4 linked regions of the Nothobranchius furzeri genome follow. The protein of the gene in region 3 interacts with the protein of the main gene of each other region in a biochemical or structural test. Links are inferred from orthologs where the notes say so. Each region holds a gene or a part of one and is shown on either strand. Other genes may lie near its edges. The genes, in order: klf13, satb1b, kat2b and irf2b.

The links.
Region 1: of the proteins of kat2b (region 3) and klf13, one has a biochemical effect on the other in vitro, tested with the Homo sapiens proteins (2 studies listed by BioGRID, with this or other methods). The link is inferred for Nothobranchius furzeri from reciprocal best matches to the Homo sapiens genes KAT2B and KLF13.
Region 2: of the proteins of kat2b (region 3) and satb1b, one has a biochemical effect on the other in vitro, tested with the Homo sapiens proteins (2 studies listed by BioGRID, with this or other methods). The link is inferred for Nothobranchius furzeri from reciprocal best matches to the Homo sapiens genes KAT2B and SATB1.
Region 4: the proteins of kat2b (region 3) and irf2b form a complex in vitro, tested with the Homo sapiens proteins (2 studies listed by BioGRID, with this or other methods). The link is inferred for Nothobranchius furzeri from reciprocal best matches to the Homo sapiens genes KAT2B and IRF2.

What each region holds. Positions count from the first base shown.
Region 1 is NC_091744.1:67,451,097-67,458,851, reverse strand, and holds the start of klf13 (Krueppel-like factor 13), read right to left. Parts: upstream 4,644-7,755; 5' UTR 4,438-4,643; coding exon 3,975-4,437; intron 1-3,974. UniProt on the Homo sapiens protein: Transcription factor that activates expression from GC-rich minimal promoter regions, including genes in the cells of the erythroid lineage. Represses transcription by binding to the BTE site, a GC-rich DNA element, in competition with the activator SP1.
Region 2 is NC_091745.1:63,025,120-63,031,922, forward strand, and holds the end of satb1b (SATB homeobox 1b), read right to left. Parts: intron 4,938-6,803; coding exon 4,308-4,937; 3' UTR 2,499-4,307; downstream 1-2,498. UniProt on the Homo sapiens protein: Crucial silencing factor contributing to the initiation of X inactivation mediated by Xist RNA that occurs during embryogenesis and in lymphoma.
Region 3 is NC_091759.1:19,554,128-19,561,793, forward strand, and holds the start of kat2b (histone acetyltransferase KAT2B), read left to right. Parts: upstream 1-3,550; 5' UTR 3,551-3,682; coding exon 3,683-3,883; intron 3,884-4,792; coding exon 4,793-4,919; intron 4,920-4,999; coding exon 5,000-5,145; intron 5,146-5,234; coding exon 5,235-5,321; intron 5,322-5,405; coding exon 5,406-5,587; intron 5,588-5,665; coding exon 5,666-5,857; intron 5,858-5,955; coding exon 5,956-6,059; intron 6,060-6,152; coding exon 6,153-6,278; intron 6,279-6,388; coding exon 6,389-6,522; intron 6,523-6,599; coding exon 6,600-6,808; intron 6,809-6,885; coding exon 6,886-7,012; intron 7,013-7,666. Other genes in the region: rab5aa (RAB5A, member RAS oncogene family, a), read left to right, coding at 1-20, 1,212-1,327. UniProt on the Homo sapiens protein: Functions as a histone acetyltransferase (HAT) to promote transcriptional activation. Has significant histone acetyltransferase activity with core histones (H3 and H4), and also with nucleosome core particles.
Region 4 is NC_091741.1:104,003,650-104,011,434, forward strand, and holds the start of irf2b (interferon regulatory factor 2), read right to left. Parts: upstream 4,509-7,785; 5' UTR 4,270-4,508; intron 1-4,269. UniProt on the Homo sapiens protein: Specifically binds to the upstream regulatory region of type I IFN and IFN-inducible MHC class I genes (the interferon consensus sequence (ICS)) and represses those genes. Also acts as an activator for several genes including H4 and IL7.

The sequences.
Region 1 (7,755 bases), on a different chromosome or scaffold from region 3:
GCAACACGCTTCAGCGTCTGCTTTGCTTTGCAGGCAGGAAAGAGGTGGGAGGGGCAGGCAGGGAAGTAGACAGAGCAGCTTTTATAGCACTAACTAAAGAATACATGAGCCCTGTGGGTCACTGAAAAACAGTCCAGGCTGGGCGCTGTCTGACCGAGGCCATTCACTGTTATGATTGTCTGCTGTGCATGCCTGACTGCTAAATTATAGTCGCGTCAGGCTTGTGCTCTGATATTAACGAGAAACTGTCCTGGCGTCAATGCAGGCAGGACAACATATGGCCGGCATGTGCACCCGCACACGTCTTAAAGATGTCTTCTACAGGACTGTAACACTGCAACAGAGGATTAATGGGCAAGATGGTGGCTTGACTCTGGCTTTATTTTCACCATGTGGATCACGTGGATTGAACTAATACCTTTGTTGTATTGGGCACACCCAGTGAACTCGGGTTTTCTGAACCAACCAGATGATTTTCGTTGTTGTTTCACAAGTGGAGAAAGCCCAGCATCATACATGTGCATTACAACTCGCAAAGAATGAAGTTCATAAAAATCTAGACAAACCGTAGAAGTAGCAAAAAGGTTGTGCTCTGCAGGTGGTCTAGCCGCGCTCCTTTAGTCTCAACAGGGCTACCATTGGCCTAGCTAAGCTTCGGCTGGGCAAATCACAGCACTCTATATTTGTAGAGACATTAGGTGGGCATATCTTCAACACGGCAAAGCTGCAATGGAGCAAAACAACAAAGATGGCAGCTTAAAAACAGCACTCGTTTGAATTGACTTTGGCATCAACTTTGGACGATTCGTTCTTCTACTTTTCTTTGAGACGTGATCAGATAGATGTGCCTAGGTCTGTGCATGGCAGGCTGCCCCGCTGACTGATTTATGTTGCTACATATACATCACATTGTGCATTGCTCTGATTGGTCCGAACGCTGTCCAACTGTCTGCAGACACAATATGAAAGACAACCATTGACTCCGCCCCCAACTAAGCTCTGTCAGTGGGTCGTGGTCAGATTATACCAAATTTGCTGATTTTATTCAACTAGTGAAGCTCACAGATTAATGGTCACACCAGGAGATTTGTGATTGTACTGAGAGCAGTGGTGAAAATCCTGTTGTGGGGCGTTTGAACTCTTTTGCACCAGTGTACCTCGTGACCCATACCTTTGCCAGGGTTAGATTTAAGCAGGAAAAACCCCATCTCCACCCTGCTACCTCATCATTCCCATCGGCCACACAGGACCACTGTGCATGCTTGTGTTTCACTGCAGCCAAATATAAACCACTGGCAGGGATGGAGCATATATAATGAGACTCCTGCTGTGTTTTCCATGTGGAATTGGGGTAACTCTACATTTTGAAAAGGCCCCTAACCACAGTTATTTGACTGAAAATAGGTAGAACGAGCGAACAACTGAGCTTTCACGGTGCTGGGACTGTGCTGCCAGGTGGTGCCCCTTCTTTTTTTAAGACAGTAAAGCTATCTAAATCAGAGGCACCACAAAAGAGATTCAAACAAAACATCAAGCCAACTGTAAAATATGTCATTAGGCTCTTTGTTATTGACCACACCCCCTCTATGTATGTGACTAGTAGATTTTGGGTATTGTATGCTGGCAAGATGAGCTTTTCTAAGAATTTTCTTTTTTGGGGGGGAGGGTTCTGTGCAAACAACCCATAAGGAAGAAGAGCCCTGTCTGTTCCCTGAGAGAAAAGCAAGACTTTTGTGAACTGACAGCAAGTATTTGTTTGTGATTCATGAAATCTGCCATTAGTCCCCTCATTTTTTTACATAGTTATAGCATCTGAGCTCCACCTCCTACCCTAGAGCAGCAGACAAAGGCTGCCTGGTAACCTTAGACCCCTAAACTGCTGTGGATCCACCAGCATCCAACCTCAGTGCAGTATAATGAGTGATTTAAATGCAGTGTGTAGTCCCGTGTCCCTGTTGAACTCTGATAGGTGGGTGGGGGCAAGATCAGACATGTTTTTTTAAGTAGAAGCATGGACGTCCTTTTGTTTTACTTTATAAAAATGACTTTGTATTAAACTTTGGAAATAAACATTAAGTGACAGAGAGGTTTTCTGAGGAAATCCCAGTTACCAAGTTCACATTTAGGAGTAACTGCCAGACAAAAGCAGCAGAAAATCCGAATGTTACAGAAGTCATGAAGGGACATTTTGTCCCAGACTCTGTGTTTGTGTTCTATAGTGTTTCCCCTTCAATTAGAGAGCTGAGTTTGGCTAGACCTGACCAGGCTGGGATCCATTCTCTCTTGATTCTGCTAGTAGGGGCTGAAAAGGAAGCACGCTGCCAGAGTTTGACTCTGAAAGCACAGCAAGATTGGCTGAGGCAGCCCATGCTGAACTCAGCTGACCCACATTCTGGGCCTGCCCAGTCATTATTAACACAATTTATAGGACACAGCCCATTTGGGGAGCCAGACGACAAACGGAGCACATCCAAACCAAGGGGCAGGGGAAAGGAAACGCTTGATAGGCACTGTGACAAGGGCAGGGCGGGCGTGGTCTCATAAAATCCCAGTACACTCACACAGCATGAGCACGCCAAAGGCTCTCAGCAAGCAGCGTAACCACCAGTCACGTCATGGAACCAATCGGCTGAGGCGTAGGGATATCCCATAGAAAAGAAAGGCTTAAACATGGTGCCTGGGGCTAATTATAAAAGCTGCATGACAACAAATAATAAACTAGCAAATTATGTTATAAATCCAATTGTTTCCCTTTCCTTGTCTTTTCTTCACTTTGATGCACATGCAGTAAAAATGTGACTGAAATCAGCGTCTCTCAGAGAACATCCTCCAGTTTGATCCCTCCATGATGCCTTACCAGGTGTATTCGCATTGTTTATGAATATTAATGAGTGTAGAATGAGATTACAGGGACACGCCTAATATTCCTATCTGGATTGGCAGGTGAGAGATGGAAAACAAAACAAGAAATGGATTATGGGTAAAAACGCCTTGCACATACAGCGTTTCTGCTGCGCGTGACTCAAATATGGGTCACGCTCATGCAAGGTGTTTCATGCTGCTGCTGGATGATGCGTGTGTGGCTGTGTGCAGGGAGGGGAGGGTGGGAGGGGAGGGTGGGTGTGGAGTGCGTGAGAGAGAGAGAGAGAGAGCTGCAGTGCATGTTCAGATCAGAGAGAGGGAGGCAGTGACTCCTCAGTCGAGGCTCAGCTAGCTGAGTCTGTTGCTGGCCAGATCAGCTGGCAGTCTGTCTAGCGGGGGTGTGGCACATCATAACAAAGGGCTTTGGGCAGACAGGCGACTGCACAGCTATTATCAACCCCCCAATTTGAGCCGATCTATATCTCTCCCCCACCCTTCCCTCCCTCCCCAGTATCCTATCCTGCGGAATGCAGAGCGCAGATCTGGGGAGGTTCTGAGAGGTCAGCATGCAGCTGAGCGCACTGACTCTTCGGACAAACTTCCTGCATGCCCATACGCACTTACACTCCTCTGTTATGTAGGGTGCACTTTGTTCAGACAGACGTGCTGCCACAAAACAAAATAAAAGTGCACCGACTGTTGATATAAAACTACGTTTTTGTGCGTAAATTTTGTGCGCAAATTGACATTTTGGCTTTGAACACGCTGTCCAATGCGGTGATGTGATGTGCGTGCGCGCGCGTGTGTGTGTGTGCGGGGGGGGGGGGGGGCAAAGCTCTGAGACATGAGTGGGAGTGGCACTATTTATTCGAGCCACTTTTTCGTGCCACGAAATTAACAAAGGACAATCTAAAGTTTTACAACAAAGTTAGAAATAAAACTATAACTGATCACGCGCTCGTTTAGGGTGGCTCCTTGACCTACCATACAGTAATTGACCAATTTTTTAACTTTTTGTTATCAACTTTCCTTTTGTTGGTTTTAAGGCTGTGGTTTAATTTATTCCCTCAGACGTGAGAAAAAACAAACAAGTCACATCCAAAGAAACTGACCTGTGTGTGTCCTAAGGTGGGCTTTGAGGTGGGAGGATTTGCCGTAAACTTTTTCACAACCAGAATAGTGGCATTTGTGCTTTTTCTGAGGTGATTCCTGCTCAGTTCGACCTCTCGATCTTTTGCCTCTTTGTCTGAGCGCAGGATCGGGGCCGGCGGTAGGTGTGGCAGAGTTTCCATCCTCTCTCTCATCCTTTATTCTCGCTGCCTGCTCGGCAGCAACGTCGGGAGTCTGCTGGTTGAAATCCGCCAGGATCCGTGCCACCACAAAAAGCGAGGAGTTATCCATCACCTCCTTTATGTCCTCTCCGTTCCTGGAGGAGGAGGATTGGGTTTCCGGCTTGATCTCCCTGTTACCTTTCGGTGCGTGAACCACTGCGCGACTGGACATAGAAACAAGGCACTCTGCTGCAAAGTGATCCATTTTATCTTTCACACAGCCCCCTCTGCTCCTCAATGGCATTCCAGGAAAAACAAAGGTGTGCTGGAGGTGAAGCAGGAGGAAAAGTACTTGTTGTTCCCTTGGAGAGACGGGGAGGAAGAGGTCGTTCTCATCAGAGAACTGACTTTATGATCTTACCCGGCTTTCCAGTATATCATCAACATCCTGTGCGAGAAACGCCTCGGACGAAAAACGCAGAGATGATCTCTCAGCTGGAGAGTGAGAAAGGGTGGAGGGGTAAGAGAGAGAGAGAGAGAGAGAGAGAGAGAGAGAGAGAGAGAGAGAGAGAGAGAGAGAGAGAGAGAGAGAGAGAGAGAGAGAGAGAGAGAGAGAGAGAGAGAGAGAGAGAGAGAGAGAGAGAGAGAGAGAGAGAGAGAGAGAGAGAGAGAGAGAGAGAGAGAGGTCTTTGTTCAGTGCAGCGACGCCGACAGGAACTCCTGAAACTTAGATGCGTAAACTCCCATCGCGCCTTCAAACCGTCTGCGAGTGCGTCTCTGGAGCCCTGGTTCCTACTCAGTGTATCCATGCTGGGGGCGTGTCGACCGGCAGCGCAGCCGCTCATTCATTGGGTACATCTTGTCCCTGAGTGCACCGAGCAACGCGAAAGTTTCAGCCGCCTTGTCTCCATGCGCTCGGAAGAAGTTTTTCACCCAGGCTGGGGTCCTGAATCCTGGAGAAACGTTTAGGAAAGCTAACTTGGTGCGAGGGGGGAGCTTCATGGATGTAAACAGAGGAGTTACACACATGCTGCAGCAGGGCTTTTTCCTACACGACCCAAATTATCCCATAAAAATAAAGAAGCTAATGTTGGGATTGGGATTTTAAACAGGCGGCGCAGTGGTTGGAGCTGTTGCCATGCCGCTTCCGGCCTGGGATCTTTCTGCATGGAGCTTGCGTGTTCTGTGCATGCGTGGGTTCTCTCTGGGTTCTCCGACTTCCTCCCACAGTCCAAAAACACGACTGTTAGGTTTATTGGTCTGTCTAAGTTTTCCTTAGGGGTGTGTGTGTGTGTGTGTGTGTGTGTGTTTTGCCCTGCGATGGACTGGCTCTCTGTCCAGGGTGTACCCCGCCTGATTGCCCATTGACAGCTGGAGATATGTAACCCCCCGCCCCCCACCCCACCCCCCTTCCCCATCTTAAACAGAGGCAGTGTCTTACCTGCAGTACATAGGAGTCAGAAGATCACATACTGAAGTGACAGTGTGTAGTTTCCTGGCGACTGGGGGCAGTACAAACGTCTAGGGTAGTTTTACATCATACCGCTATTACTGTCACTAGTAATACAAACATTACAGTAAATCCTTTACAATGTTCATTATGTCCCCTTTTTAAATATTAAACAATGTTTTGTTTTTTTTGCTTCGGACATGAAGGTGTTTCTAGTCCCATCTCCCATGCAGTTTTTATGATTATTTGTTACAAAGCCACCAATATTTTTCAATGATTGGACCACTTCGTTCATTTTCAACAATATTTTGATGGATATTTCCAGAGATTAATGGATTAACGGAAAAAAGAACACATTTAAAATATTTGTTTGCTTGCTCTGCTTTCACACAAAGTTCCAATCTCTCTAAAAAGGACTTTTCAGCTTTTTGTTTTATTTCTGGGGGTCGTCTCAAGATTCAAAACTTTCTTCTGTGACCTCGTCGGGTCAGCTTTAGGAACCAGCTGTGTTCTGTGTGGCGTTGACACCAGGACCACGTCACAGTGACGGGAAGTCGTAAAGTTACAGGAGAGCATTCAATAAAGTTTCATTTGTCTGAAGCTCACGGTGGACGTGGCGGCTGAACACCAAATGGTGTCTGGAGTGGAGCTGCTTTGAGGCTAAGACAGGAGGACAAAAGGTGCGTGGAGAAGAGAGCAGAACCACAACCGTGGTAGGAACTTAAGCACCTCTGATGATTGAGCCATTAAGTTTACCACTTTAGACCAAGTGTCTCTGGCTTTCTTTCTAAAGAAAAGTGATCCTGTTAACCACTGTTCTGGAGCGGTAGGAACGTTGTTTTTAAGGCATCAAACAACTGATCACAGCTAGAAGGAATCAAGATCAAACAGCAGCAAAGTAAGATCTGCAGGGATCATCGAGAGTCAACAGCCTGAAATGATAACATGTTTGTGTTGGGGTCGTTGGTAGCGCTGTCGTCTCGCAGCAAGAAAGGTCTCATTTTTGAACATGGCCTTTAGCGTGTCCTTGCCGTGCGTGTTTTGTTTTAATCCGGTTTTCTCCCACAGACCAAAAACATGCATGCTAGTTTAAACAGAGACTCTATTGCCCTTAGCTTTCTGTGTGTCCCAGTGATGGACTGGACATCTGTCCAGGGTGTCCCCCGTCACTCGCCTGGTGACTGCGAGAGTCGTTCAGGGTCGAGCTGTTCCAAAGATGAATGAGTAAAGCGCCTTGGGCGGTGGATGTGGAAAATATTTCTGTTATATCTGTTTTATTAACTTTTCAGGTGATAAAATAGGAATGTGTCCCGAAGCAGGCGTCGTCATGCACCAAAGGGTTAGAAAAGAAAAACGGTTAAACTCCCAGCTGATTGGGCGTCTGATTGAGAATAACGTAACACATCAAATGACAGTTTCCCAATTACACACCAAACCTGTTTGTCATGAAGCACAACAAAATGTTACGGTAGACTCTTCCTCCTCTTCATAAAATTATAGATAAGCAAAAGTACATCTGAGGAACATTACAGTTCCAGGGGGAAACGACCTGTCTTGTCTGCAAGGATGAGACGTCCTCGGTTTGTTAAATACACTGTGTTACAATTCTGGAACAATCTGCACAGTCTGAGGCCTCTGGCCAACAAAACGGGTCTCCTACTTAAAGCTCTGATGATGCCAAGGTTTAGTCTGCATAGAGAACATAGATTTGCAACAGTCTTAAATATTTTTTAGCATCATTTTAGAAAAGAAAGTGAAATAAAAGAAACCAGTGCTAGTCTGCTAAATGCTCCAATGAGAGCACATTTAACTTAAAGTTGAATTTGTTCAAAAATAACTTCTATGTCTGTCAGTGCTTTATGATTTTTTAATGAGCATTATTTGTCTAAATGAACAGCTTGTGCTCTTATTTTTTAAAGATGGAGACCGCCATTCAGCAAACCAGCCTCTAACCACTCCTCTGAGCAACTCTCCGGTCTCAGCCAAATGACATCCAGCCAGCTACCACAGACACTGTCTTGGTTTATCCTCCAGCAAGAGACAAGTGACACCATTATGGAAAGCAATTACAAAGCGACATTATGGGTTTGTAATTGCTAGGCAATCATTTAAGATAGGGTGTTCGTGTTTCAGATGGAACTGAGTTCAGAAAGGAAACGTGACTTTATGTCC
Region 2 (6,803 bases), on a different chromosome or scaffold from region 3:
ATAAGGAGGTTGTGTTTTCATAACTCAGAATTCACATGATGCTCCTGAACTAATGTGATCAGCAGGACAGCTTCAGCTCCTCCCCCCCATGTCGGTTCAGGTTTAATCTAGTCTCCTGAAACCTGGGAGGCAAAGAGCGGCCGTGATTAAAGTTATTAATTTCCACACTTCTAACCTTCTGCTTCTTCACATAAAACAGGAGCTTTTCTTTCCTGATGGTTCTGTGCAAGAAAAACACACGCGGAGACAAGTTCCCAGTTTATGTTGCGGCGATCCCTCGGAGATTGACATCATTAAAATAACTTTATTAGGCTTTCTGCTGCATTTCCTGTTTGATTTACTGTGCAGTCCCAAGGGCTCATGGGTAGGCACAGAGGACTCCGCGGCGCGAGCCAGACCTGCCGATGTTGTGCTGCAGCAACCTGAGCGTAACGTCCTTATTAATCTGGAGACACACACGGCAAAGATGGTGCCCAAAATAATGGCTGCAGCCAGAGATTAAAATATAAAACATCAAGTGACTCCAGGAATTCACCGCATTTAATCTGGTCTCAGTCTGGTCATAAATGGAATAATTGTCACAGAAAATGCACAAAAAACAGAAAGTTTTCCTAAAGTTTCATTAGCTGAGTCCTTGCTGTTTGTTCTAAACCTGCTAATTTAAGTTTAAACTTTTGTTTGCATCATGTTAGAAAGCAGAAAGTCAATTTTGAGCACCTGAAATCATCTTTTTTTCATTCATGTTGCAACAATGCAGAGCTCGTTACTCGAGTCTTTTCCAACAAGCTACAAAGACTCCTGGAGCTCTACTGGTGATCGAAGGATGTGCAGGATGGAAAAATCCTGCGAGTTTGTGACTTAGTTTGAACCACGACATGCACAAAAAGAACAGGATTTGTCATGAAAGCAGCTTGTTACACCTTTAATATTTATTTGTTCTGTTTCCAAGTGATGCTCATCAGGCTGTTCATCTTGGAGAAAACATGAATCATCTTTCTCTAAACTGTGACTCTCCCAGCCTCCATCTTTAAATAAGGTCTTTGTTCTGAACTAAAACAGATGCACGGTTGCATTCTGCTCATATGAAGCCCAAACTCCTTGTTGACTTTTGATTGACGTCTTCTGGAGGACTCTCGCAGAGAATGTGTTCAACAGAGCATGAATGATCTTTAAATGTGTCCATGCTGCAGATGTGCATCCTCAGTGTGGCACAAAACCAAATTATTGGAACAACTCTCGTTCACCGACTGTTCTGTTTCACAGTTTTTAACTACCAACCTTATTTTTAAACTTTTCTTTCACCAGAGTGACTTAAACGTTTTAGATCTTTGATCTAAACCTGGAACCAGAGCTTCATTCAGAGTGTTGTTTACGGAGGTGGTGCTTTCATAAAAGTGCTTCAGAGATGTATTTCCAGTGTGTGGACTCCATGTTTACTGGTAGATTTATTTATACACATCGTAAGGAATTTATTATGTTGATGTTTGTACTTATTCAGCAACTTTTAGGACCTTTTTTTTTGACAAAGCATAAAAAGTTTAAAGACAAAAGGCAAACGTTAAAAAAAAAGAAAAAAGAGGTTGCAACACTACATGTCCATCACAGGTTTTATTTTTTTTTTCCCAAAATTTTTAACTTTTATTTTGAAAATTAGCTTTATGAAGATAAAATAAACAATTAAACTAATTGTTTCCCTTTATGCATTAAGATTTAGAATGACATCGGTTTCTCCTCCTCGCTTTTTTTGGAGCTCAAACATGCATTTGGACGATGGAAGTGTGTGCAGAGCTCCAGCCCAGCTTCACCACACGTGCGTCAGCTGCAACGTCCATGTGGAGGATGGCTTATTTGCTCCCAGATCTGTTTAAGTATCTGTCTGGCGTGGCCTAATAATGTAAAGACCATATAAAAATAAGCAACTGATTCCTGAGTTGACTCACCACTAAACGTGTGAGGAGATATCTGATGTGAAGAGATGCAGAGAAACTTAAAGCCAGTTTAGGACACAAAATCACCTGTTCTGGTGTATTTTTCTCTTCCTGCACCAGGTACATCTGTCCTATGGAAGTATTGGTGCTCCAGAAGGTTTTTGCTGAGACAAATGAGGCTGATCCTCGTGAAAATGGTGATAATGATACAATCCTGAAGCTGCTGATGTTCGTTGGCACCTCTGTCAGTCAGCCATTTTAATGCAAAAAGAAGAAAAATCAGGAAATAATGAAGCGTAATGGTGCTTCTTTACTTCACGACATCTTGTTTTCACCCCTTAATGTGCTTCGTGTCCCCAGATCATCACCTCTGGCAAAAGAGGGAAGAACATCCTGAGTGTTTGACAATTCTGAATCTTTTTTTTTTCCCATCTATTTGTGTTTCAATGAGCAAAACATGAAAAGAACCCAGACCGCTTGTCTGGATGTTCACAGGTGAGGTAATTTCCTCACCTGGAGTTCACCGTCAGGTCAGGACACCTGTGCTGCAAGAGGGCTTCTCCATTTCTCCATTCCAGGTGTTCACACCTCAGCTTTTATTGATTTGAGATTTCACAGGTGTTTCAGATACACTCAGCAGTAAGAAGAGCCCAGGTACAGTCGCTCTGAGAAGAGGAGGCACAACAGAGCGCAGGATTCAGCTCCCCGCCGTGAGCTCTCACACAAACTTCAAACCTATTTACAATCATAAACAATCGGCGGTTGATAGGATGTGATATTTACAGTTATTGTTACAAACATGTCCGGGTCAGCCGGCGTCTCTCAGCCGCAGAAACAGCTCACATCATCTCAGCTCCGCTTGGTAAAAACCCCTCTGAGGGCAAAAGAGTCCGCTCGAGGAATCAGTGTCACCATACAAACGGTTTAATCGTGTCATTAACAATCACTTCTAGTTAGAACATCTCTGCAGAGAGGAACCGAGGAACACATAGAAAACAGTCAGTCGTAACAAAATAACGGGTGTTCTCGTCTGAATCAACGCTTAAAAAAACTTTTTGTACAGGATTGTTATTTTTTCTCTTATTTTTTTTTTTTTTACAGGAGGAGCTTTTAGAGTTGGATCTCGAACCAAAGGAAGACACATGGCAGACATGGATTTTCACACAGATTGCATATGTTCTCTTCTCTCTAAGGTGTTCCATAGGTTAGTCATCTCACCTAAGCTTATTTGCATGATAGTAAAAGTTGCATACGACAATAATTGTGAAGCTTGTAGCACGATTTGCTCGACATACAGCACTTTATAGGCGACCTTTAAAGCACATTTCTCCACTGAAGACGTTTAAGACACTTTTTGCTTCCACTGCCAGTGTTAAATCACATTTATAAATAGAAAAAAATGGCAGAATTTAGAAAAAAAAGAGGAAAAACTGTGATAAACTTTTAAAATAAACTGTAATTACATCAGAAACACAGCAAATAAATAATGTCAGACAACATAAACATAGTTTAATTCACATTGTTTTAACTGTGTGGCGAGTCAGAGTTACAGTGACAAAGGTTTTGCAAAATAATCTAACATCGGCAGTGCCGTATTGTACAAGGCATTTGTTGGCATAGTTTCTTTAAGACTGTACTTTTTTACAGTTACAATATAATGTCTATATATATTTATATTATATATCTTCCCTAACAAATGATAAGCAACGGTTCGGCTGTTCTCGGGTGATTGCGTTCCCGAGTTTGGAGTGATTTCTAATCACACGATGCTCTTTTTAAAAGAATGACTCCTCCTCCAGCAGGCTGCAGACGTCACACCTCACAATTAAGGCCTTTACAACCACTTGGTCCTCGATTTCATTTGATATTAACAAAAATGAAAATTCCAGTTAAAACATTACATACACCTATCAAATTCTTAGTAAACTCCAGGGGGTCTTTTTGATTTTTTTTTCTTTTTAATATAATCTGTAGCTCAAAAAGATAGTCAGTGTAAAACAACAGACATCGAGTGCAGCCAGCAAATATCCACGGTGACGTACTTTACAATAATGTTTTTGTGCAGATTATTAAAACGATGCATCGGTTTTTACAGTGAATATTACAAGTTTTACAAAATCCAAAAAGTAGTACATGAGATGGGTTTTCAGTGTGTGTGTGTGTGTGTGTGTGTGTGTGTGTCACTTCACAGAGCCTGTAACTTTAATTTATACATAAACACTTCCCGTTCAGTCCCGACGCTGCGTGCACAGACAACGCTGCTTGTCTGCTTTTCCAGCTCGCCGGGTCGTGTCGTTCAGAGCGTTCGGATTCAGCACGGTCATCAGTCTGAGTGTGCGGGTCAGAACTCTGAGTCCAGGATCGGAGGGAGCCGGATTTCTACTCTTTGACCTCATGCTCCGACTCGTGGTGGGTCTCGGCGCCTCGGCCCAGCTGCTCCTCGATCTTGATGGAGAAGATGGTGCTGTTGGTCTGCGTGCTCTCGTCCAACTCCTTCAGCAGCTCTCCGCTCTCCCTGAAGTCTGTCAGCTCCTCCTCGAAGGCCGGGCTGCTCCTGCTGCTGCTGCTGCTGCTGGTGTTCACCGCTGTGCTGTTGTTGCTGCCGCTGCTGTTGTTGTTGTTGGGCTCCTTGGGCGCCTTGGTTGGGTGGCTGATGTAAAAGCGCTGGTTCTGGAAGAACTTGATGATGGTGAGCTTGGGTAAGTCCAGTTGGGCGGACAAGGTGTGGATGGCCTCCTCGTCTGGGTAGAGGCCCACATCCTGGATGAAGCTCTGCAGGATGCCCAGCGCCTCCAGGGAGATCTTCCCTCCGCTGCTGCGGGACTTGATGCTCCCTCCGCGGCTGCCCTCGTCTTCCGTCTCGGCCGGGGAGGCGGTGGAGGGTTGGCGGGGAGGCAGCCTGGGGCCGGTGAGGGGCTGCTGCTGCTGCAGGGGCTGCTGGGACAAAAGGGGCTGGGAAGGATGGAGGGACAGGGAGGGCTGGTGCTGCTGCAGCTGAGTCGACTGAGACTGAATTTGAGAAAAAAAAAAAACAAGAACAAAAAGAAGGTAAGGGTGTTACCAATCTGAACCATAAACAGGTTTGTTATAAAAGTTGAAAAGAATTATTCGTGAACAGCCTCAGTTCATAGAAATAGGGTTTACAGCCCCAGGACTGATGAGCTAATGGCTAGTCTGACACCTTAAAACAGATACTTCAAACAAATGTGGTGATTTCATCTGCAAAGATAAGCAGGAGCAGGAGGAAGGACATTTGATGTGCCCAGAGGTCAAAGGTCATTAGGGATTATTGTATTTATTTTTTATTTCTGCAAGAACATTTGTGTAATTCAAGGTGCAAGTCAAAACAGTTTTAAGGCGGCAGCCACTAGCTCACCAGTCCTGAGGAATTCAAACACTATTTCTTTGAACAGAGGCTGTTCAGGAGCGTTATTTAACAGCAAATATTTATAACATTAACCCAGAGGCAAAACAATTGAAACATCCCGTTAAAATCAGAAGATCTACGATGAAACACGTTTCCCTTCTACATGACTGAATGTTATCAGTTTCACAGAAACTTTTTTCCTTTCTCTCCGGTTCAGACGTGAAGTGAGATTGTGTTTTTATTGTTGGGGCTGAAAGCGAACTGCAACGACACCAGCACAACAACAAAAAGTGGGAATTCTCAGGAAAACTGGCTTCTCCATTATGTCCTCTGCAGCTTATCAGGCTCGGCTGCCAGGCAGCGATAAACAAGCTCCCCGTGCACAAATCCACTTAGCGATGGTCTGGCTGATTAGCTGCGGCGTGAGAATGCTATCGATGGCTTCCACTTTGCCGTCAGAGTCCCGTTAGTGTAAACACATGACGCATTACTCGTAAAACGTCTCATTGTGTGGCTGGAGAGGGAGCGAGTGGGCAACTCGTGGTCCCTGTTGACCCTGCAAAAATGGCTGCTCTTTCATTTCCATGTCTGAGTCAGACGCTGTGGATAGGTGTTTCATAATCAAGTTTGCAAAACAGCACTTTGCAGGGACTCTGCCTGCCAGCTGCATAAATGCACCCAAAGATGCAGTTTTACTGGACCAACATACCACTGCTCTTGTTGAGCCAGAGTGGGCTGATTTGGCTGACGTGTGGCATTATGAAAGAGCACTGCTCTTTGTGGACAGAGCAGAACTGCTCTATTTAGTCAGAAATAGCCCAAACCCTAACCCTTCTATCTACAACCAGTTCTGTTTGCAAGCGAAGGTCTGCACGTTTCCAGCTCTGCAGCAGGAGCGGGTTTGTAAGTGAAACCGTGCTTCTACCCGGTGAACGAGTCTCTGTGAAACACCGGCTGTGTCTCTGAGAAACCAAATAACAACTCAGCCAGTCAGCTGTGGCACGGACTTTTAATAGGAGTATTATTGTACTTCATTAAGATGTTTCCACCGTTAACTGAGCCTTTGTGTTATTTGCAATTCATACGCCAGATGTCTGGTAGAAAGCAGCTCTGTTAAATAAGTTCAGCCTAATGATATCTTTGAAAACAGCTTTTGCTGAAAAGTAGGAAGTTTGAAGTGCTGCTGTGGCTCTAATTTACAGGCGTTCATTAAAACTCTTAAGTGGTGTTTATTTATTTTCCTGGGTTATTAGTCAAATGCACATAAAGGGACAAAAAACGTGTTTTTCACTTATTTGTTTTAGTCTGAGACATTTAGGATTTGGTAAGTAGATTATTCAGTTATCAAGAGAGTCTGGTGCTGGATCTCGTGTGTGTCGTGGAAAAAATTCTACTAAAGAGCTGATTATTTTCTCTCCCGTCAGATGAGTCATTTACCAAACAAATGTCGATAAAATGTGGAAAAACTCCTTAAAACTTGTTTGTGTGAATTTAATTAGTGAGATGTT
Region 3 (7,666 bases):
CGAGATATTTATGGCTATTGGTAGGTTATTATTGGATTCTCTATATCTTATAGATTACTGCTCGTTTGATCATTTGGGTTCTTTTGATTGGTTCCGTGAGCCTGACCTTTGCCACTGTGGCAGGTTTTCTGGGAAGGACATTAAAGTCAATTTAGGTCAATAAACTAGGAGCATTTATCCTAGTTTACTTTAACGTTAGAAAACCAAAGTCTGAAACCAAGTGCGTTCCACTCCGCTACAGTAGGTGGCGCCCTTTCCTGTCAGCGTTCTTCCAGTTAGCTTACAGAAACACAACCGGGGAGTGAAACAGACGTACTGTTTGATGGTGCTTCACGCGTTGCTTTGTGGTGATGTCCTCAGAAGACTGCTAACACTGCCTCATGTGTCCAAACGGTACCAGCTCAACCGAGCCGTTACACGCAGAAGAATCCGGACTCCTACCGCATTACTGATGTACTTTAGATGAATTACAATTAGTTTGTTTTCAGCCAGACTAAAACGACATAAGTCGGTATAAGGCGATAGTTCTACTGATGTACTTTGTAAATGTGTCTCCTCACAATATGGGCCCTTTCAGGACTTTGCTAAGACGTTAGCATATCGCGACCATTTTGGCAATGAGCGTCACAACCACACAACATTAAAGACGTTTTATTCGGTCATTGTACGACATTTTTAATGCCGTTTAGGGGATGCGTTAAGAGCGGGAATGTGTCGAGTAAAAAGCGGCGTTCAGTGTCCAAAATGAAAGTTTTTTTTTTTTTTTTACTACCCACCATTAGAGACCACAGAGTAGCGTAAACTACAGCATTGTTCGAGGATTCTTGGTGTTTTTTTTGGTGTTTAAAGTTCAGCATCAGCGCTGCTTAGTTTCTTTTCCTTCCATTCGGTATAGTTGTTTGGCGACGCCTACTAATATAATTTCCCACTGAGTTACCACCAATCAGCATGAGTTAACCACAAGCCACGCCCAGCGACTCTACTGGGCCTTTACGAGTACATACCTCAGTTCGGGTACTCGTTTGGTGCCTGATATGGCCCGGAAAGGGGTCTTTTGAGTTTGCTTCGGTGAAATAGAGGCATGCACATTCCGTAAAGATCCGGTAAAGTTTCCTACAAGTTCCGATAGTGGAAACGGGCCTTTTCAAATTCAATCACTAAAAATTAAATCTAGCTGTTTATACTAATATTGCATGTGTTTCTCCTTCTAGCAAAGAGATTGCCAAAAAGTGAGCCCCAAGCTCCAGGAGCCACCGCCGCGCGAAGCCGAGGAGTGGACCTGACGGAACCCGCCCAGCCGGCCAAAGCCCCGTGCTGCTCCAACTAACACGAAGAACACACCTTTCTCTGACCTGTAGACCAGTAACTAATGTGGTCCATGCCCCAGGTGCCACTGCAGCTACTAATGCAACGTGTCACTCATCGTTAAAAGCGGGAAGACGCCCGCCGTTCCCATTCTCTCCGTTTTCTTGCAGTGGCGGACCAGCGCCACTGGCGTTCCTTCGTAGTTCTGCCTCTTGTCTTCTGTTGCGGTTCTGCTGCCACCAGGTGAAGCCTCCCAACCACTCTGTCTTACTCCCTGACACATTCATATCCGTGGTGGCAGAAACGACAGATCCACCTTCGCTCCAGCGTGTAAATCCGAGTTTCACTTCCTCCCCCTGGAGACTTTACTACTGCTTCTTTTGGATTAATATTGTTTGCTAGGATTCTGTTCTGGACACATTTCCTTGTATATTTAAGTGGGCTAAAATAAAAATAAAAAACTTTAAGGTTGGTTTGCAGTAGCACAAAACGTCCGTTAGGGGAAATGAAGTCTTTTGGAATTTCTGCAATCCCTCTTAATGTCCTCACTTCCTGTTAAAGGTTAGCGCAGTTTGCTCCTCCCGTCTGTAGGTTTCGTTCTGGGGCTGTGCCTGCTCGTAATTGTCAAGTGTAATTGTGCAATGTTCTGCAGTATTACTCGCTAGTTTGAGTATCTGCAGAGAACAACGTCCCGTCTCACATCAGTGGTGACCGTCCACGAGTCCTTCCGTAAACCGTCCCATTCTGATCCAACCTGGATTCTTTTTTTCTGGCGTTGGATGACTTCTGCAGCCGTCCTCTCCATCGGGTCGGTGTTGCCGGGCGGCTGCGGGTAGTTTTGCACAGAATGTGGGGTGAGAGTGACTCGTCCTTTTATTTAGAAAGTGCTTTAGACACAACTGTTCTAACTGTGTGTGTGTGTGTGCGTGCGTGCGTGCGTGCGTGTGTGTGTGTGTGTGTGTGTGTGTGTGTGTGTGTGTGTGTGTGTGTGTGTGTGTGTGTACACATTTGCACAATGAAACACATGACTTCTTCCTTTCAAACTTTTGATTTTTTTCCTGTCCAAACTTCTGCATCACTGTAGGTCAGCTGAAGAATATACTGTTACACGTTAGCCACACTTAATGTGTTTGTCATGTTCTCTCTAACACACACACACACACACACACACACACACACACACACACACACACACACACACACACACACACACACACACACACACACACACACACACACACACACACACACACACACACACACACACACACACACAGAGAGAGAGAGAGCCTTTAGTCCAAACCTTTTTCTATCGTTCTCATGCCTTGCACTAATAATGCTCATGAATTTATGTTATAATCTCAGTCAGTGTGTTATAAATATATACATAATATAAATATATAAATAATATACTGTAAATACGGTGTTGCAGTGTAGTCTACCTTTTTATTTTTGTTTTCCCAGTGACGGGACTAATGCTTGCTAGGGATAATCAATAGAAGGTTAAAAACCATGTACAGTTAGCAGGAAAACAGCAACAATCTGGGTTTGGAGTTTTCCCCCCAACACACAAATGGTTAAGTCATAATCCGTGGTGGTCTTTATAAATATGTGTAGTAATATTAACAAAAAAAACATTGCATTTATTTAGATGTCTGCCTCATATTATTTTCTCAAAAAGAAATCTGTTACACCCAAACTTCCTGGTTTCATCCTCCTTTTTATTTTTAATGCCTTGTGTCTAAAATGTCCTCCTCCCGGGTTTTAGGAGATATAAACTGATTTAAAAATCTACATATTGGTCTGTTTAAAAATCTGTTAACAGCGTTACAGGAACAACAGAACATCTGTGACTTGGATCACTTTTGGTTTTAAGACTTCTTTGCAGGAAGACATTTAAACTGAAGCATTTTACAGAACTATTATGTAATGACCAAATAAATACTGAAATAAATTTGAGCATTCATCATTGTAATCTGGCAGTCTGTGTGTTTTTGGTATTTTTTCTCTTCTTTAAGGATATTTTGTGATGTAGGAGGATTATGCTGCTGATTTGTTATTTTATGGTGCAATACGTTTACTGTTCCCATGTAAAATTGTTGATAGTTGGTAGTTTTATAGTATAACTTTAAAAAGGTTCCAGTCAACATGATTTTCTCTAGATTTGACCTTGAATTTTGGCTCCAATTGGCTGGATTTTGTGACCTCTCCACTCAGTTGTGGTCCCGTGGGCGCCCCTAGCGGAGGAAAATGGCACCGCTGTGAGAAATTGAAAATAAGGATGAGCGCCATGTCTGATCCTCCGCTTGTGGAATAGCGCGGACGGCGGAGCCATCGTTTCCCGGGCCTGCGCTCGCTGCGGGTTTCGGGGTGAATCATGGCCGACACCGCGGGGATTCAGCAAGGTTCGCCGGCCATTGGAGCCGCGGGCCTGGTTCCGGCGGCTCCTGGAGCCGGGGGCACGGAGGGCTCCGGCGCCGCTGGAGGATCCGCACGTATCGCAGCGAAGAAGGCGCAACTCCACTCGTCACCTCGGCCGAAGAAACTGGAAAAACTCGGAGTGTATTCGTCTTGCAAAGTAGGCGTGATTTGCACGCGGGGAACTGTGAAAATACGCGTTTTGTGTGTTTAATCCAAATTAACGGTTGGTTTTGGTTGCAAGTTTTCATAATGCAGCGCAGCAAAGGAAGCCATTGCCGCACTTCAGTTTTTTTTCCCCCTTTTTAAAAAAAATAATTGCATGAACGGCACAGTTTTCTGAAAAAAATAAACGAAGATGTTTAGGATAACGTGTATTTCTAGCAGCCGAACTCTTCGGCCGGGGCCTTTTTGCTGGACGCTCTCTGGTATTTTTAGTGGTGCTGTTTCTGTCAAGGTGGGTGGTTGGTGAACGTAAACATTGGCTCGGAGCGGCTCGGGAGTCGCTGGCTGTGGGAACAGGAGCCGAGCTCGTGCGCGTGTGTCTCCTACCCTCACCAGAAGGTCCCACAGCCTCCAGACCTTCTGCTGGAGCTCGGCGGTGAGCCTACGGAGGCATTTATGGGGCTTGTGCGGCGTACGATCCGCAGAGGGTCGGTGTCTTTGTTTTGACAGGATGACAGCTGCTGGAGGGGGCGGAGTTTGTTATTGTTTCAGTGCGCATGCGCAGCAGTGACAGGCCCCCCCTACTTTGTTTGTTTTTCTAGGACACAAGGCTCCTTTTGGGTTTGAGCTAGTCCGACTAATTAAGCCAAAAATTGAGGGTGTTTTTTATTGTCTTCAGTTTTAACTTATTTCTACTGATTCAGATGCCCAAATACCTAATTCATCACATTCTAATTGTTTAAAATTCTGATTAACTTTAAAATGATTCGGAAATCAAAACATTTTCACATGTAACATATTATTCAAAGATGATGCGTTCAAAGACCAGGAAAAACGTTGGATTTCAGCTGACCGTGGTGATTATAGCTGTTTTGTTTGTTTATTTTCCACTCTGTTCCGACAGGCCGAAGGACCGTGCAAGTGTAATGGCTGGAAGAGTCAGAACCCCCCTCCTACACCTCCTCAAACGGACCAGCAGACCAACACGGTCAATCTGCAGGAGCCCTGCCGGAGCTGCTCGCACACTTTGGGTTTGTGTGCTTGTCGAACCCAACAATCCCTCTTGGTAAAAGTTATCACTCAGATTTATAATATCTTTATTTTCCCCCAGGTGATCATGTGACTCATCTTGAACATGTTTCTGAGGAGGAAATGAACAGACTTCTAGGAATTGTCCTGGATGTGGAGTATTTGTACACATGTGTCCACAAAGAAGAGGACGCGGACACTAAACAAGTCTACTTTTCCCTCTTTAAAGTAATTTCCAGCTTTATTGTTAATATTTTATCACGTATAACCTCTGCATTGTGATCAAGTAAGCTACTAATTTCCATTTGACCTTTTAGCTGTTGAGGAAGTCCATCCTACAGATGGGGAAGCCCATGTTGGAGGCACAGGAGACTCCTCCGTTTGAAAAGCCCAGCATCGAGCAGGTGAAGTAAGAGTTTGGAAGGAAAAACACATTTTCATTGACGCCGACTGATTTTTCTCTTTATTTCTGCTTGTGTACCTAAAAGGGAGTGAACAATTTTGTCCAGTACAAATTCAGCCATCTGCCATCAAAAGAACGTCAAACCATCATGGAGCTGGCTAAGATGTTTCTGAACCAGATCAACTACTGGCAGCTGGAGACGCCCTCTCAGAGACGCCAGCGGGTGCCCAATGACGATGCAGCAGGATATAAAGCTAACTACACACGGTGGGACTGAGCAGAGTTCCCTTTGACCTGCTTTCCTGGATTCTCTCGTAGTTTTATGTAAACCATTTCTGTGTGTAGATGGTTGTGTTACTGCAACGCGCCTCAGTTCTGCGACAGCCTGCCCCGCTACGAAACCACCCAGATCTTTGGCAGGACGCTATTACGCTCCGTGTTCACCGTGATGAGGAAGCAGCTGCTGGAGCAGGCCAGACAGGAGAAGGACAAGCTCCCCCCAGAGAAACGCACTCTCATTCTCACACACTTTCCCAAGTACGACACACACACACACGTGTTCACACAGAGAAATGACACAAACTCAACATTTTAAAAGCACAGCACTTAAAAAAAATGTGGTTTTCTTTGCTCAGGTTCTTGTCGATGCTGGAGGAGGAGGTCTACAGCCACAGCTCCCCGATCTGGAGCCAAGACTTCCTTGTAGGAGCTGCAGGAGGACAGATTCCCATCCACACAGGTAAAACACACCCTCACACACACACACCTGTACGCAAGTTGGAATTTTTCTTCGCTTTGTAAAAAAAACTTTTGTTTAAAATTCCCCGTGTAGTGATCAGTGCTCCCCCAGTAGTCCGGCCAATACACTACAGCACCAGTCCTGTGTCGGTGGACCCGTCCACCTGTGGTAGCGTCAGTCCTGCCAGGAAACCCGCCTCGGCTCTGGAGTCAAACCCAGGTATTAAAACTGTGATTGCACCGTGATCCGATAAAACTTCATGTCTATTTTATCGTGAGCGATTATAAAAGAGGCGAATGATGATTTTGAAGATTAAATTGTGTTTAAAGTTGGAGAAAAGCGTAAAGCATCAGAACCACTTCACCACGAAGAAAACAAGAGACCCAGGATTCTCGGGGACATCCCGATGGACCTCATTAACGAAGTCATGGCGACCATCACCGACCCCGTCGCTATTCCAGAGGTAACCTGTTGATGTGAAGCCAGAAACTCTCGTTGTAGAAAGTAGCTCACGCCTCCTCCACCTCCTTTACTGCCCAGACCAGCCTTCTGTCTGCTCATTCTGCACGGGACGAAGCTGCACGCCTTGAGGAGAGGAGAGGGGTGATCGAATTCCACGTCATTGGGAACTCTCTCAGTCAGAAACCCAACAAGAGGATCTTGATGTGGCTAGTCGGCCTTCAGAACGTCTTCTCCCACCAGCTTCCCCGCATGCCCAAGGAGTACATCACACGGCTGGTGTTCGACCCGTGAGTTTCCCCAACTTCATTCGTGTCCAGAGATGTAGAAAAGGCATGGTGAGTAGACCCGTCTTGTTTTCCTGCAGGAAGCACAAGACGCTGTCGTTGATCAAAGACGGTCGAGTCATCGGAGGAATCTGCTTCCGGATGTTTCCGTCGCAGGGCTTCACGGAGATCGTCTTTTGTGCCGTCACCTCCAACGAGCAGGTCAAGGTGAGCAGCTTTGTTTCTGTTCCTGGTTTGCACCTGCTCGGTTCGGCGAACGTCCGTGGTTAGGGGGTGGAGTCACCGGTTGCTCCAGAGTGTTTCCCATCTCTTTCTGCTGCCTATTCAAGGTCTTTCTGGAGTCTGACAAAAAGCCACAGATGGAGTACAACCTTCCTGTGCTCTTGGGTTGAAACGAGATGATTTGGGACAATAGAAAGTCAGATTAAATGCTGACCAATGATCTTCTGGGTATGCTCCTTTCATCAACATACTCAGTTGGTGCACCCACCATTGACAGTGGAAGAAAATACATGGGTTTGGAGTGTGCAGGGCCAGCAGGAGTCTTCAGGGACAAGCTTGTTGACCAGCATCATATCTGAATTCTCATTCAGGAGAACGTTTGCCAGAATCAAGCGTCGATCCAAGAGGTCAGAAAAAAATCTGCGAGCGGGTTTTAGGAGCACAGACGGAAGGAGCTGAACATTTATGGGTTAAAGAGGAGAAGAGTCCATTTGAGAGCAAGTCAAACACATATAAACACAAGAAGGGATGTTTTGAGAGCGACCATGGGTGTTTCAGTGTCAAGGCACCTGGCCTTGCGAGGCCAGGCGCCTTGCTTACGAGGACACGGTCCTTCCTTGGTCAAAGAAAACGGTTAAA
Region 4 (7,785 bases), on a different chromosome or scaffold from region 3:
GCACAACTTCCAGAATATATAAGACATGGGACATCCAGGTAAGGTTGGGTCCTCCCCCTCCTGGACCTCCCCCTCCCCTGTGATGGGACAGCAGAGGAACCAAGGTCTACTCGAGGCCCCCGAACCCGGGCCAGGCACTGTTGCATGTTCCTGCCTTCTTCCTGGCAGCATACATGTCAGGACCCGACCCCCAAGACCCCGCCCAGATCCCCCTATGGGGCTGGCCACACCCAAACCCTGAGCCCCCAGGCCCCCACCCAGACCCTCCCAGGGGCAATGCAGCTTCCAGGCAGTGACCCATGGTCGCCGCCAAGTCCTCCAAGGGGCCCCACTCACAACCGCCAGTAGTCCACCCCCCAAGGCAACCCAAGTACCTCCAGAGGGGGGCAACAGCCCCCCAGTCCCAGACACCCCCAGTGAACCCACCTCCAGGGAACATCCGGATACTCCAAACTCAGACCCCCCCCCCCCCCACACACACACACACACACACCATCCCGCAGGACAATATCAATGGTCCCCCATCATCGCTATGTGATGGAACCGATCAAAGGAGCCCAGAGAGATTGATTTGAAGTGAAGGCAGAGGCTAAATCAAGTGTAATATGATCCAAAAAAAGATTTCTATACTGGTTAATGCAGAGAGATTCTCTATTTTTCCAATTCAAGAGGATAGTTTTCTTAGTGATGCATATGGCAGTCAGAACCACGTGAACCTAAGATGTTTCAATCGGGACATCGTCCAGGTTTCCCAGTAAACAAAGAGAGGGGGTGGTTGGGATATGACATTTCAGAGACTTTGACAGGTCTTCACACACTCTACCCCAAAATTCCTGGACAGGTGGACAGGACCACAGTGCATGAATGTAATTGTCAGGAATGTTGTTTGTGCAGTGTGTACAGGTGTCAGATGACACAAACCCCATCTTGAACATCCGATAATCTGTATAGTGTACTCTGTGTAGAATTTTGTACTGAATTAATTGTAAATTGGAGTGTCTGATCATTTTAAAAGTTTTTAAACAAGTTTGGGACCAGAAGTTCTGGTCAAAGCTGACTGATAGATCCACCTCCCATTTTTCAATAGGGATTGCTATTCTATCGTCTATTTTGGACAGTGTCTTATATACTTTAGACCAGGGGTGTCAAACTCGATTTAGCTCAGGGGCCACATTGAGGGAAATCTAGTCCCAAGTGGGCTGGACCGGTAAATAAAATAAAAAACTTCAGATTGTTTTCTTTGTTTTAATACAATCAATATAAAACAAGGCTGGAGCCTGAGGACAGTGTAGTACAAGTACAACACCTGAAGTGTACTTGAAAATTTGAAGAAGAAAAAAATCAACAAATTTAAAAAAACATTCCTTAGTGATTCAAAGAGCTTACAGATCACATGGATAGATCAGTTTCATGCAGCACTTAAAGTATATTCGACTCATTTTACTTTACATCTTTTAGCTTTCACCAGCACATCAATACCAGAAGTCACATCCTGAGTGGCAGCCAACTTCAGGATGTGACTCAAGTTCTTGTGTGAGCCTTGAGCGCAGCTTTGTTTTATTTATACTCATTACAGAGAAAACTTGCTCACAAAGATACGTTTATTTTCACTCTACATTGTAAAGTATGAAAATAAGGTTTACACAACCATCTCGCGGGCCGGATTTAACCCGCTTGCGGTCCGGATCCGGCCCGCGGGCCGCAAGTTTGACACCCCTGCTTTAGACAGTAGTTTGGGCGACGGTGGCACAGGAGCGACGGTGGCACAGGAGTTAAGTGCTCGCCCCGTAATCGGAAGGTTGCTGGTTCGAGTCCCGCTCAGTCTGTCGCTGTCGTTGTGTCCTTGGGCAAGACACTTAACCCACGTTGCCTGCTGGTGGTGGTCGGAGGGACTGGTGGCGCCAGTGCTCGGCAGCCTCGCCTCTGTCAGTGCGCCCCAGGGCAGCTGTGGCTACATTGTAGCTAATCACCCCCAGTGTGTGAATGTGTGTGTGAATGGGTGAATGACTGATTTTGTTGTAAAGCGCCTTGGGGGGTCATAGGACTCTAGAAGGCGCTATATCAAATACAGGCCATTTACCATTTTACCATTTAGTTTGGGGGGTTTGAGATTATAGAAGTCTAATACCCTTGGTGGTGTTTGTAATTCTATTTTATTGAGCTTAAATTTTTGTTTGACTACAGATTTAATTTGGTGATATTCTAAAAAGCTATTCTTATCTATTCCAAATTGGGAGATTATTCTATTAAATGGGATGAAGTCCAATCCTTCATATATGTGTTCCAGGTATAGGATTCCTTTATTTTTCCAGTCCGGAAGGTTCACTATTTTATTATTTTGCAAAATATCAGGATTATTCCAGATAGGTGTGCGTCTGCATGGTACTAGTGAAGACTCTGTCATTTTAAGATACTCCCACCATGCCGTCAGAGAAGTGCTGATACTAATACTTTTGAAGCCTTCATGTTTTCTTATGCTTGAGCTAATAAATGGTAAGTCTGAAAGCTCTATCGTATTGCAAAGTGTCTGTTCTATATCTAACCAAGACTCATCTAGTGGGTTATCTTGCAACCATCTTGGTATATATTGCAGCCTGTTGGCTAAGAAATAATAATAAAAGTTGGGTAGATCCAGTCCTCCTCTGTCTTTGGTCTTCTGAAGCGTTTTTAAGCTAATTCATCCCTTTGTATGTTCTAATAAAAACTATTAATTTTGCCTGATGAGGCATGGTTTTTCTCAGGACAACATGGACTATCTGCGTTTATAATTTTTTTTTATTTTGGAAGTAATGTGATAGCATTTTGGACCTTAAATCACACAAAACCATGAAATCTGTGTTGAAAAATTAGTAGTTTTTTTACTATGAAACCTGCAAACATTTATGAAGAATTGTTTTTATAATTTAGAATGCTAATATATAGAATGCTAATGTATAAAATGCTAATGTACATAATGCTAATGTATAAAATGTGAATGTATAGAATGCTAAAGTATAAAATGCTAATGTATGGAATGCCAAAGTATAGAATGCTAATGTATAAAATGCTAATGTATAAAATGTTAATGTGTAGAATGCTAATGTATAGAATGCTAATGTATACTGTAACTGTGCAAAACAACATAAAAATACAGCAAACCAAAAGCTTTAATGAAATTAGGTTTTTTACAACTAGTTACACAGGTCACAAAAAGCCTAAATAAACTATAATGCTGCTAATTATTTAGCAGCATTTGAACTTGTTGCATTACTTTACTAAAGGATAAGGGCTTTCCCCGTGACTATTTGTGCCACTCAAATAAGCAGCTTCTGCCCACCATCATGGATGAGGGCACATGGCCGGCATGGCACTTCCACGGGGTGTTGTACATGTTTTGTCAAGGGGCAGTTTTTGCATTTTAGCCTGCTTCAGGTGGCTTTTAGGGTAACATCCACAGCAACAGGAACACGATCAGCTCTCCCGCCCTGGTCATGTCACCTTAGATCCACCATGAAGTCTGTGTGTCACGGCTAGGGCTGCACGAAAAGCTCACCAATAGAAAATTCCTATTAATATCAATAATTATTAAAAACTATATTTAGAAACATGTAGAAAATATGTGTAAGAGCACCTCGGCCATTTAAGGCCATTGTTTTATGATACAGACACACATTAACTAGTGTGTGTGAGAGAGCATTAACTAGTGTGTGTGTGACAGCATTAACTAATGTGTGTGTGTGACAGCATTAACTAGTGTGTGTGTGTGTGTGTGTGTGTGTGTGTGTGTGTGTGTGTGTGAGACAGCATTAACTGATGTGTATGTGTGTGTGACAGCATTAACTAGTGTTTGTGACAGCTAGTGTGTGTGACAGCATTAACTGTGTGTGTGTGTGTGTGTGTGTGTGTGTGTGTGTGTGTGTGTGTGTGTGTGTGTGTGTGTGTGTGTGACAGCATTAACTAGTGTGTGTGTGTGTGTGTGTGTGAGAGAGAGAGACAGCATTAACTAATGTGTGTGTGTGACAGCATTAACTAGTGTGTGTGTGACAACATTAACTAGTGTGTGTGTGACAACATTAACTAGCGTGTGTGTGTGTGTGTGTGTGTGTGTGTGTGTGTGTGTGTGCGTGCGCGCGTGGACCCACTAACCAGATGAAGTCAAAAGTGAAAACAACAGCGAGTCCAGCGGCAGGACTCCCGCTGACACGCGCAGCTGTCTGTCATGTCTCCTGTAGGCAGCTCGCTGTGCGCGCGAGCCAACAGCGGTTAATAGGCGGAAATAAAAGATGTTACCTTCTCAGTTAGACGGCCTGACGCCTCGAGGAGCCGCTGTCCGGACAGTCTGCGCCCCCAAAGTTGGACAAGTAGTTGTAGGCTTGTTTAGGCGGCGAACGGAAATGTTTATTTCTGTTTGTGCTCTCAGACCGAAAGCAAAACAACGGTTGCTTCGGGAAGTGAGAGTGGAGCTCGTGCTGGAAATCCCCCTCTAGCTCGCGGGCTCGAGCTGCGTCTACGAACAATCTTTGGCCAACGTGCGCGCGACCGCTAGAGAAAGCCAAACGAAAAGAGGCCTCACTCTGATTTGTTTCCTCCGCTTCAACAAAAACGTGTGCTCGTGGACAGAATAAACACAGCGAAGCAAACAGCATTACCTTGCAGTTTGTTTTACGTTGAATGTTGTAGACGAGCTAATACCATATATGTATGTCGATGGCTAAAACCCTGGCGTAAGGAAGCGCTTATGAGTAAATAAAAACAACAGCAGTAAGGGTTTAAGCCGCTCACTGACGATCTTTGAGCTGGATTTCATTTTCATTTCTCCCTGATACCCACCCTGCCTTTCCTTTCTGCTCAGCTGCTGCCTAAAACGAAACCAGAAAGTCAGAAAGCAGCTAAGACAGGAAACTGAAGCAGCCTTTTCCCTCCTCACGACCTGATGAAACTGAAGAAACTTGTGTAACTCGGAACTAACCCCAGCCCTCTGGACCTAAACACCGTCTAACAGAAAATACGTTTTACATGAAAAATACACGAGAACATCTGTAAAACACAATTATCTGACAAACGAAGAGGAAGTTTAGAAAAACAATGTACAAAATAAAACTGCTTGTTATAAATATCTGGAATAGAAGTAAAAACAACCAAAGACAGCAAGCACACAATAGAAGCTCCTGAATCTCCAGCATGAAAACAGAAGTTTATTTCAGTAAAATTCAACGACTTGTGATTTTTGCTCACGTCTGTTTCAACACCATCACACCGTATAAGAGCAGCCAGCTTGGAAAAACAGGAACAGAAACTTGATGAAAGCTGATGCAAAGTAGCCCTATTGTCCCTCAGCAAGAAGGTCCAGAGTCAGAATCAGGTTTCATTGTCTTATGTACAAGAAATCACAACATTAAGTACTTGGTGCAAAAATAAAATATAGAAATAAGAGATAAGTAAATATAAAAAGTAAGAATATAGAGTTATCATGTTCTCATCATGCATATGTGGAGTTACCATGTTCTGCTCGTGCATGAATAGAGTTGGTATGTTCTCAATCAAAAAAATCAATCAAAAATGTATTTATAAGGCACTTTTCATACAAAGAAGCAACTCAAAGTGCTTTACAGATAACAATGACCCCATAAAACCTATATTCCATACCTTTCCCACCCATATAAAAGCGATTTAAAAAGCAGCCCATTTCACAGGCACACACACACACACACACACACACACACACACACACACACCTACACACACACACACACACACACACACACACACACACACATGATGAGTTACATCCCAGCCATAGCTACTCTGGGACACAATAACAGAAGTGCAGCTGTCCTACACAGCCACCTCCGACCCCTCCAACCACCACAAACAGGTGAGGATGGTGAAGCTCCTTGCCCAAGGACAGAACGATTCACACGGACAAAGCCTGGGATTGACCCACCAGTTACAGGGTGAACTCCTAACCTCACCCACTGTCACCCCTAACTTAAACATTAGGTGCTCCCAGATGAAAAGCATCAGGAGGCAGGTCCCAGCCACCAGCACAAAAATAAAGACTGATGTGCAGAAACACAAACATGAGAAAAGAAACTCTTGTTATAAACTTGTAGACCTGGTGTGTTAGGGGTTAGGTTAAAGTACAGGTTCAGTTCCAGGAACAGACTGCTGACTCATAAAGGCCTGCAAACCCTCTCTGAATATGTCTCCAGCTCCCTCTAGCGGTCACATGTTCAACCTGAACACATAGTCATAAAAATGTCCTGTATTACAATGGCAGAGGCAATTATTTATCACTAATTCAGTGTTTTATTTCCTAAATGCAAGAATTGTAATAAAGATCATTTTATTTAGAAAATACAAAGTTAAACATGGATTAAACCTTTAACAGGATGTTAGCTATCAGCTGCATGAGACAGGTGTATAAAACCCTTATAAGCGTTATTTGATGCCTCCAGTTTTTACCTTTTTTAGTTTTTTCTCCTATGAGTTCTTGAACCTGATTTGGCTCCCTGTTGGACTTCCTTCATCACTCCAAAATAAAAGGACCTTGTTTTGTCTGTGTGCCGTTCCTGGGTAAACTGCCTTTGGGTCCTAGCCTCTATCCAACGTGACAGATACAGCTCTGGACAACGGCTGGAGACGGGTTCTTGCTCTCCAGCTAGTGTGGATGTGTGCAGTTACCCAGATGTAAACAATGGGTCCATAGAAACACTAAGATGTTGAAAAATGAAAATTAATTACATGTAAACTAGGTGTTAAAAGCTTGTCTGAAGGGGTGGTTTTAGTTTAAAAGAGTGAGAGAGTGAGAGGTGCAAAGGTCAGGGGGAAGAGAATTCCAGCAGAGGGAAGCAGAGCAGCTGAATCCTCTACTTTTTCCAGAAAAAGTAACCTACACTGTAGAAAATAACCGTATGTTTAACAGTGATGAAAGGTAAAACAGGAAAAAAAAAACACCAACTGTAAAACTATTTAAAAAATTTAGATTTTACATGAAGTTGTCGTAAATAAATGAATTGTTGAAAACAGTAATTAGTTGTTACTGGAATACAAGATGAATGGTTTTCTACCAGGACTCGGCTCTCACCTTTCAAATCCCATGTTAAACAGGTTTGTAGGATTTCCTTTTTCCACCTTCGGAATATTGCTAAGATTAGAAGCATCCTTTCCAGGAGTGATGCTGAAAAACTAGTTCATGCATTTATTACATCAAGACTGGATTACTGTAATTCATTACTCTCAGGAAGTCCACAGAATGTAGTTAAAAGTCTTCAGCTTGTCCAAAATGCTGCAGCTAGAGTTCAGATGAGAATTAAAAAGAGAGATCATATCTCTCCTATCTTAGCTTCCCTACATTGGCTGCAATAGATTTTAAGATCCTCCTTCTCACATATAAAACTCTTTACCGATTTTTCAAGAAAATATTGAATTCTGACACGACTACTTCAAAAGGTTGTAGCTTGAAAATGGTCAGAGGCAAAGGTGAGCTGTAAATGAGAAAAATCTTCAGTAGGACCCAAAGTTTGTGTTGGGAGCAAATGCACTCATCTAATTTGCATATTATGACATCACCAAGCTGCCATATTGGAATGAATCATTTTTACAGTTGTTCCTTCTTATTTTTACATATTATTTTGAAATGTCCATAATATTTGGAATTTTTTAATTTATATATACATATATAAAGCTCTTTAGAAACTGTAACTTCATTGCTTATCATTTATATTGTATTTTTTGATATTTATCTTGGCCTCACTCAGGAGAAATGCACGTTAGCCATATTAATCAGGTTTCTTTTGGCTTGTA